2 linked regions of the Alligator mississippiensis genome follow. The protein of the gene in region 1 interacts with the protein of each later gene in a biochemical or structural test. Links are inferred from orthologs where the notes say so. Each region holds a gene or a part of one and is shown on either strand. Other genes may lie near its edges. The genes, in order: NMUR1 and NMU.

Evidence for each region.
Region 2: the proteins of NMUR1 (region 1) and NMU form a complex in vitro, tested with the Homo sapiens proteins (2 studies listed by BioGRID). The link is inferred for Alligator mississippiensis from reciprocal best matches to the Homo sapiens genes NMUR1 and NMU.

Annotation. Positions count from the first base shown.
Region 1 is NC_081830.1:85,073,233-85,077,136, forward strand, and holds the start of NMUR1 (neuromedin-U receptor 1), read left to right. Parts: upstream 1-1,066; 5' UTR 1,067-1,221; intron 1,222-2,372; 5' UTR 2,373-2,421; intron 2,422-3,514; 5' UTR 3,515-3,523; coding exon 3,524-3,904. UniProt on the Homo sapiens protein: Receptor for the neuromedin-U and neuromedin-S neuropeptides.
Region 2 is NC_081825.1:60,618,012-60,621,915, reverse strand, and holds the start of NMU (neuromedin-U), read left to right. Parts: upstream 1-1,198; 5' UTR 1,199-1,281; coding exon 1,282-1,411; intron 1,412-3,904.

The sequences.
Region 1 (3,904 bases):
GCGACCATCCTGAGATGCCTTCTGGGCAGGGAACTGCACCGGTCCAGCTCCCTTGCCCCTGGCACAGAGCCCCAGCACAGGGGCACTGGCTTCAAGAGCCAGATTTGCACTTCTGAGCACTGACCTCTGCCCTGCCCTGTCCCAGCCGGCTGCAGCAGGACGTGCCTGGGTCCCTGCTGCTGGCATTGGGGCTGCACCCGCTGCCTGGAGGACGTCGGGCCCCTCTGAGCAGCAGCACAGCATGGCCCCAGGGATCCCAGCCCATGCCAGGCTCCGTGCATGGTGGCACCAGGTCCTGCAAGCTGCGAGGGAATCCCACTGCCTGGTGCGCCGGTGCTGAGCTGGCGTGGGGTGTTTTGCACCCCTCCTCCCCCCATTTGCTGAGCTGGGCTAATCATGGCTTTTATTAAGGCCAAACAATTGCCTATCTCCTCGGTCCTGCTCAGCTCCGGGGTTTCAGCTCTCATAAACCGCCGAGCAAATATTTGCCTTGGAGGCCGGAGCAAATCGCTGGGGTCTATTTGGTAGGGGGGGGGTGCCTGGCCCAGGCGGTGACGTGGCCTCAGCACCCGGGCACGGGGAGGCTGGCACGGCAGTGCTGAAGACCTTCATGGGTGACCTCCTTGATTAGCCGGCCTGGTTACCTGGACTCCTGGGTTCCCTCCCTGGCCAGTGGGGACTGGTATTTAGCCCCCAGGGGCTGGGCAGAATCAGGACTCCTGAGTCCCATTCAGCTTTCATAGGCTCAGGTGAGCACGTCCCCCTGTGCCTCAGTTTCCCCTCTCAAAATGGGCAGGCACGGGGGCTTTCTGGAAGCCCCAGCTAGACACGGGATGGGGCAAGGGTCTCCCAAAGGGGCAAGGAGACCAGGGGGAGGAGAGGACCTGCTGGTCACAGCCCCCAGCAGCCGGGGCAAGGCCTGGGGCTGCGGGTCCAGAGCGAGGGGCACCGCTGCCCAGCTGCAGCTGAGGCTGGGGGGGAGCCGTGGGGATGCACCGCCCCCTGGTGGTGCTGGAAAAGCCAGCGGCTCAGCCAGCCCCCGCCCCTGTCCCCTCCCCACCTCAGTGATGCTCTTTCCCCCCAGCCCGCTGCAGCTCGCCCACACGCAGCGGGCACCAGCACCGATGGAGTTAGGACTTCAGCTGCCACCTCAAACTCCGCCTGGAGCTGCGAAGATGCTCGGGCCAGCCCCAGCCCTCTCTGCCTGGACCCTGTAGCCCGGTGAGCCCCTCTCCACACCCTGCCCACCCAGGCAGGACCCTCCAGACAAGCAAGGCTTGGAGCTCTTCAGCCCCGAGCACCTGATGCCCTAGTGATGGGGACACCGGAGCCCCACGGCCAGGAGGAGCAGGGTGCCAGAACCCCAGAGCGGGGGAGCGGGGTGCCCAAGCCCCAGAGCCCCAGAGCCAAGGGGATCATGGTGCTGGAGACCGAGGACCAGGGGAGCAGGGTGCCCAAGCCCCAGAGCTGAAGGGTTTGTTGTGACGGAGCCCCAGACTGGGGGAGTGGGGTGCCCAAGAGCCAAGGGGATCGTGGTGCTGGAGACCCAGGACCAGGGGAGTGGGGTGCCCAAGCCCCAGAGCTGAGGGGATCGTGGTGCTGGAGACCCAGGGCTGGGAGAGATCGGTGCTGGAGCCCTGACCCTGGGGAAGCAGGGAGCTGGAGTCCCAGAGCTGGAGGAAGCAGGGTGCTGGGGCTGCGGGGAGCGCGGTGCTGGAGTCCCAGAGCCTGGGGGATGCAGGATGCCAGAGCTCCAAAGCTGGGGGGAGTGGGGTGCCAGCCCCCAGAGCTGGGGGGAGCCGGGTGCTGGAGCGCGGAGCCAGGGGAGGGGGCAGGCTGCTGTGGGGAGCACCGGAGCAGTCACAGGAGCCGGAGTTAGGAAGCGAGGGGGCTGCTCTCCCTGCAGGCAGCCGGGCAGGCATGGGGGGTCTGGTCCCTGGAGGTCACGCAGGCAGAGCGGAGAGGGGGGCTCTGGCTGTGAGCGCGTGCATGTGAGCAGGTGCCCGGCTGGGTGTCCGGGAACCAGCCTGATTGCCAGAGCCGGCCCCGGAGATGTGGGCGCAGGGGGTGCCGGGTGGCTGGCGGGATGCAGCAGGGCAGGGTGCAGGCTCCTGCCCCCCCCCCCCCCAGCCCTGCTTGTGGCCATGGCAAGGCACCAGCTCTCGTTGAAACTTCCCCGGCCAGCTCCAGTTCAGTGTGGGATGCTAATGCAGTGCTGGGGCCCCGAAGCGCCCGTGGCTTTTCTGGAGGGGTGGAGGGGAGGGGGGACCATGCCCCCATGGGTCACCAAGCTGTCACGGCCCCAGCTGGAGAGGGTGTCCCCATCACCCACCCCGACCCTCTCCGAGCCGTGCTCTGCTCTGTCATTCCAGAGCCTCTCCCGGCCGTGCTGCCGCCGGTGCCGCAGTGCCCCTCGCACAGGTAAGGCACCGGTTGTGGGGAGGTGGGAAACTCCTGCCAGGACCTGGCTGGTCCCATTCACCACCCCCCTCCCCAGCCCCTGGCCGGGGGGCTGAGCTGGAAGGAGCCGGGGGGCAGCTGGAGGCAGGGCGCTCCCACTCCCCAGACGGCTATGGAAGCTCATCCAGGTTCTGGGCAAGATGCGATACCACCACCCCCTGACTTCTCCCCTCTGCGGTGTGGCAAGGGTGAGGGCCGACCCTGGGGCCACGTGCCAAGCGGGTGCTCCGTGGCTGGTGCCAGAGGGGCTGTGGGGTAAGAAGGGCCCTGGCCCCCCGGTCCAGAGGGCACGTGAAGGGAGCAGGTGGAAGCCAAGCCAAGCAGAGACAGGGCTGAGCAGGAGCTGGAGGCCTGCAGGCTTGGCCCAGAGAGACCAGGAGGTTTGGGGGAGCGGGTGGGCACCTCCAGAAAAGCCCGGTGCAGTGTTGGTGCAGTAGCAGGGCTGCTCTTGCCCATGGCTCAGTGCAGTGCTAGGGGCAGCCTGTCGTGGGCAGGGATGGACGTGCCCCTGAGGGCCAGACCCATCCAGTAGCACCCCGAGCAAAGCCCCACACAGTCCAGCCTCGCCACACCACAGGGCTGAGGCCAGACCCTGCATGGGACCACGCGGTGGGGTGGGGGGCTGAGCTCTCCAAGGGCTCCCAGGCACTGAAGCAGGGGGCTGCCAAATCTGGGTCTACATTAAGAGCATTAGCTCTTCCTGGCCGCTGTCTGTGCCCTTGCCACCTCCATGGGCAGAGCCGGACCCCCGGCGTGGTACTGAGTGTGGGTGGGTTGTATCGGGTACATTTGGCAGCCCCGAGGCGGCTCCATCGCTGAGCTGAGCCCAGGGGTTGAAGCTGACAGAGGTCTGGGGTTGCAGCTGTGGCTACAGCTGAGAAGCAGGGACTCGGATAGAGATTCAGTCACTCAGAGCTGTCCCGGGGGACAGGGCTAGAAGCCCCCCTGGCTCCAGCAGCTGGGTGGGCCCAGGGCAGGCATCTTGCATGGAGAAGGGCTGGGAGCACCTGGGCTGCTCGCGGCATCTCCCCCATGCCAGTAAGTCTCGTTGCAGCCAGAGGCCATGTATCCCTACACCAACTGCACCAGCCTGGCACCCCTCCGCGACTACCTGGCCCGGCTGGAGGCCGAGGTGCTCTGCAATCACAGCCACGTGGACCCGGAGGACATGACCCTCACGGAGGACGAGCTGCGGGACAAGTACCTGGGGCCGCGGCGGTCCAGCTTCTTCGTGCCCGTCTGCACCACCTACCTGCTGATCTTCGTGGTGGGCGCCGTGGGCAACACGCTGACCTGCCTAGTGATCCTGCGGCACAAGTTCATGCGGACGCCCACCAACTACTACCTGTTCAGCCTGGCCGTGTCAGACCTGCTGGTGCTGCTGCTAGGCATGCCGCTGGAGCTGTACGACATGTGGAGCAACTACCCCTTCCTGCTGGGCGCG
Region 2 (3,904 bases), on another chromosome or scaffold:
AGCAGTTACATGTTTTATGACGGTTTACATACATGTATCATTTACATCTTAAATCCCCTCCCAGGGGCAGTTCTTAAGCCCCTCTGGTCATCCTTTGGTCAGGGTAAAATTTCTTTGCATCAACATTTTTCCCTGTCCCTCTTTGCTTATCTCTTATTTATTGCATCCGTTCCTGGCTCCGTCTGCAGAATTTTAGTTCTACTCGTAAATCAATTGTTAGTCTACTTGTCTTAGTGATAAGTGTGGAAGCGAGAGTAAAAACATGCGGAGTGCATAAGCAATTACAAAAGCAGGGTGTATAGATTATGCTGTATTTTTACCACAGTTGGATTACTCGTGGGCCTCTGGTTAAAAGCCTACCCATAAAGCATTCCTGAACTGGGGACTAAGGATCTTAACTCTGACATCCTTGTTTTCCCCAGTCTTTGTAAGAAAGGGTTAAGGCAGGGGTTTCAAGCACATCAGGCCTCACTGGTTGGAAGAATACCCTGGGGCTGGTCCATGGGCTGGATCGGACCTATGGGTCAGATCAGCCCTACAGACCAGCCTTGTGCTCTAGATCTTGGACTGGCCACAGAAGGTGCTGTGTGTGGTGCAGTTCTGCTTCATGCTCTGGGGCATAAACTGGAGTGGGCATTGCGTGTGCTGCAGGGGCCATCCGGTGTGCCCCACATGCTGCCAGCAGGTCAACTCTGAGACCAACTGGCAGCAGTGGGTACTGGATGATGATGAGACTCTGCGGGCTGGCTCTGGCCTGCGGGCTGTATCTTTGACATCCTTGGGATAAAGGACACTTTATCGCAGATGCCAAGGATGGACAGCTCCAGAAGAAATCGTTTTACAGTCAGTCTGAAACCAATCCCTGTTGTTTCAGGGCTCCTTCACATGCACATGCACATGCACATGCACACACACTCTCTCTCTCTCTCCCTCTTGTTTTAGGGCTCCCTCTCTCTCACCTCTCCAGTTGTTTCAGGGCTGGTTCTCCCCTCCACTTTTTCAGGGCTGGTACACACACACACACACACACACACACAGCCTGTTGTGTTAGGGCTCCTCTGTCACACACACACACGCACCCCTCCCTCCCTCCCAGCTGTGTCAGGGCTGGCACGCGCAGACCCGGGGCTGTGGCGGGCGGGGGAGCGGGGTGACGCGGCCCTGAGTCCGGGGGAGGCCGCCACGTGTCCCGGAGATTTAAAAGTTTGGGAGGGAGCGCGCCCGGCCCGCGCTGCAGGCTCCTCTCAGCTCCGGGAGCGCACGGGCCAGCCGAGCCGGACCATGCTCCGCACCAGCCTCTGCCCGCAGCAGCAGCCGCCCGCCGGCCCGCAGCGCAGCCCCGGGGACGTGCCGGGCGCCGCCGCGCTGCTGCTGCTGCTGCTCCTCGCCTCCTGCACGGGCGCCTGCCGAGGTGAGCGGCGAGGGCCGGGGGCAGCGGGGCCGGGGCCGGGGCAGCGCTGCGGTCGGGGCCGGCCGCCTCCGCTGGCGCTCGGGGCGCGGGGGCAGCTCCCGCTTAATACCCGCCGGTGCCTTGGCTTCCCTTCGGCACAGTCTCACGCCTTTTTCATTCTGGCTGGCGAAAGAAATGATGCCTGAGACGGTCTGTGAAGTTCTTGCTGGCAGCAAAGAAATGAGAGGGGGAACTTCTTGTTTTCTTTTGAGCAGAAACCCGGGTATAGCAGCAAGCGAGGAGTGAAGTACTGGTTTCTATATTACTCTTCTAGCAGTCGGGGGGGGGGGGGGGATTGTTGCGTTTAAACTTGAGTTGTTTTCCTTTTCCAGGTCCAAAAAAAATCAACTGTTTTGCAATCTGGCTTTTATTTGCAATGGGTCCAACACTGAATTGGAGAATTAATGTAATCAACTCTTATGAATCTCCATTTCCTTTATAAAGGCTAGTAATAGAATCACAGAAAATGCAGGTTGGAAGGCACCTTGGGAGGTCGTGTAGACTGGGGGTTCTCAACCTGTTTTGTACCAGGATCCACTTACGAACATCACTGGCTGGCCCCAACCCAGCTCCCCTTACTCCTGACCCGCTGCTCCTATCCCCAGGCCCCAGTGTGTGGGGCCTGGGGGGCCCCAAACAGCCCCTCACAGGCTGCAACTCTGCCAGCCTCCAAGGGGAAAGCCAGGGTTTCCCACATTTTTTCCCTGTAACGGAGAATCCATTTTTAAAGTTTCTTGGTCCATTTTAAATGTTTCTTCCTGACCCTTTCATATATTCTTGTGACCCACTTTTGGGTCACGACCCACAGATCGAGAAACACTGATGTAGACCAACACCCCTCCTCCCCCAAGCAGGACCATCCCCAACTATCTCATCCCAACCAAGGCTGTGTCTAGCTGGGTTTTAACAACTCCGAGATTCCACCACCTCTCTGCCCAGACTGTTCCAGTGCTTTACTACCCTCCCAGTGAGTGTTTTTCCTAATATCTAACCTAAACTTCTCTTGCTGCAACTTGAGACCATTGCTCCTTGTTCTGTCATCTGCCACCAGAACAGTCAAGCTCCATCCTCTCTGTAGTCACCCTTCAGGTAGTTGAAGGCTGTTGTTAAATCCCCTCTCAGTCTTCTCTTCTCCAGACTTAAGTAAAATGATGTTGTAACTAAATAAATGGCATTTTAGTAAAAACAGAACTTATGTTATAGACAGATAGGTAGATAGCATTTCCTATTCTATCAGGAGCTTTACAACATCATTGCAAGCGTAGTTATTAACTCCTTGCAGAGTAACCTCATACAATAATGCATTACATATTGACTGTTTTTGCTTTGTTTGTCTTGCTTGTATGGGAGTTGCTCTTTTACCTGTGACTGTGATATTTAAGCGCCATCAGAAAGTAGCAGGGTCTAAATATTTTACCTCACTAAAGAGCATGCTTTTAAAAAGACCAAAAAAAATCTTTGAATTTACACTGTTACCCATAGATACTAGAACCAAATCTGAATGTCTGGAATATCCACAGTGCCCCAGAAGTTAATGTTTGATGCTGCTATTTCCTATCAGAGGGATCCACTTTTAATGAAGCGATATTTACTTGCCCTTTTAAAGGATTAGGAATACAATTCTGCATGGGTCTGATGCTCTCAATTCCCATTTATTTAAACTGCTGAGAATTGTGGATCTTCAGGGAGTCGGAGGATCAGGCCCATATTGTTGACAGACGGGTCTAGGGTTGCCAGTAACTTCTTAAAATGATCTAGAGCAGGGGTAGGCAACGTTTTTTGGCTGGAGTGCTGAAAAACCTACAATGCCTACCTTGGAAGGTGCCGACGTGCCAGCAAGCCAGAAAAACAAAATGAGGACAGGGGGTACATGGCAGGATGCTCTGCTTGTGCCCCTTGCCCCCACCCAAAGCCCTTGCCTCCCAGCCCTGCTGCCCTGTGCCCCCCACCCTTGCTGCCCCTTACCCCCCAGCCTGGGCTCTGTGGCTATCAGCAGTTACCCAGAGCCTAGGCCAGCTGCAAACATCTGCTGCCTCTCCACCCTGGCCCTGGCCTCAGCTGCCTCCCAGCCCCAGACCTGGCCCCTGGCTCTGCGGAGGCAGCACATACCGGCAATGCTCCCTGTTGTGCTGCCCTCACCTCCTGTGTGCACAGGAGCAGCGTGGGCAGCAGCGCAGGGTTGCGCCCCTTCCTGCTGCCCCCACCTGCAGGGGAAGTGTGGCAGGGCAGTGGGGAGCTCGGAGCAGGCAGCTTTCTGAGCCCCCTGCTGTGCCCTGCCGCACTGGGTTCCAACGCTGCTCTGCAGAAGCGGCAAGAGCAGCACAGCAGGGAGCATTGCCAGTGTGTGCTGCCTCCCCGGAGCCCAGGTTCAGGTCTGGGGCTGGGAGGCAGCCGGGGCCGGGGTGCAGTGGCAGCAGATGTTTGCAGCTGGCTCAGGTTCTGGGTAGTTGCTGA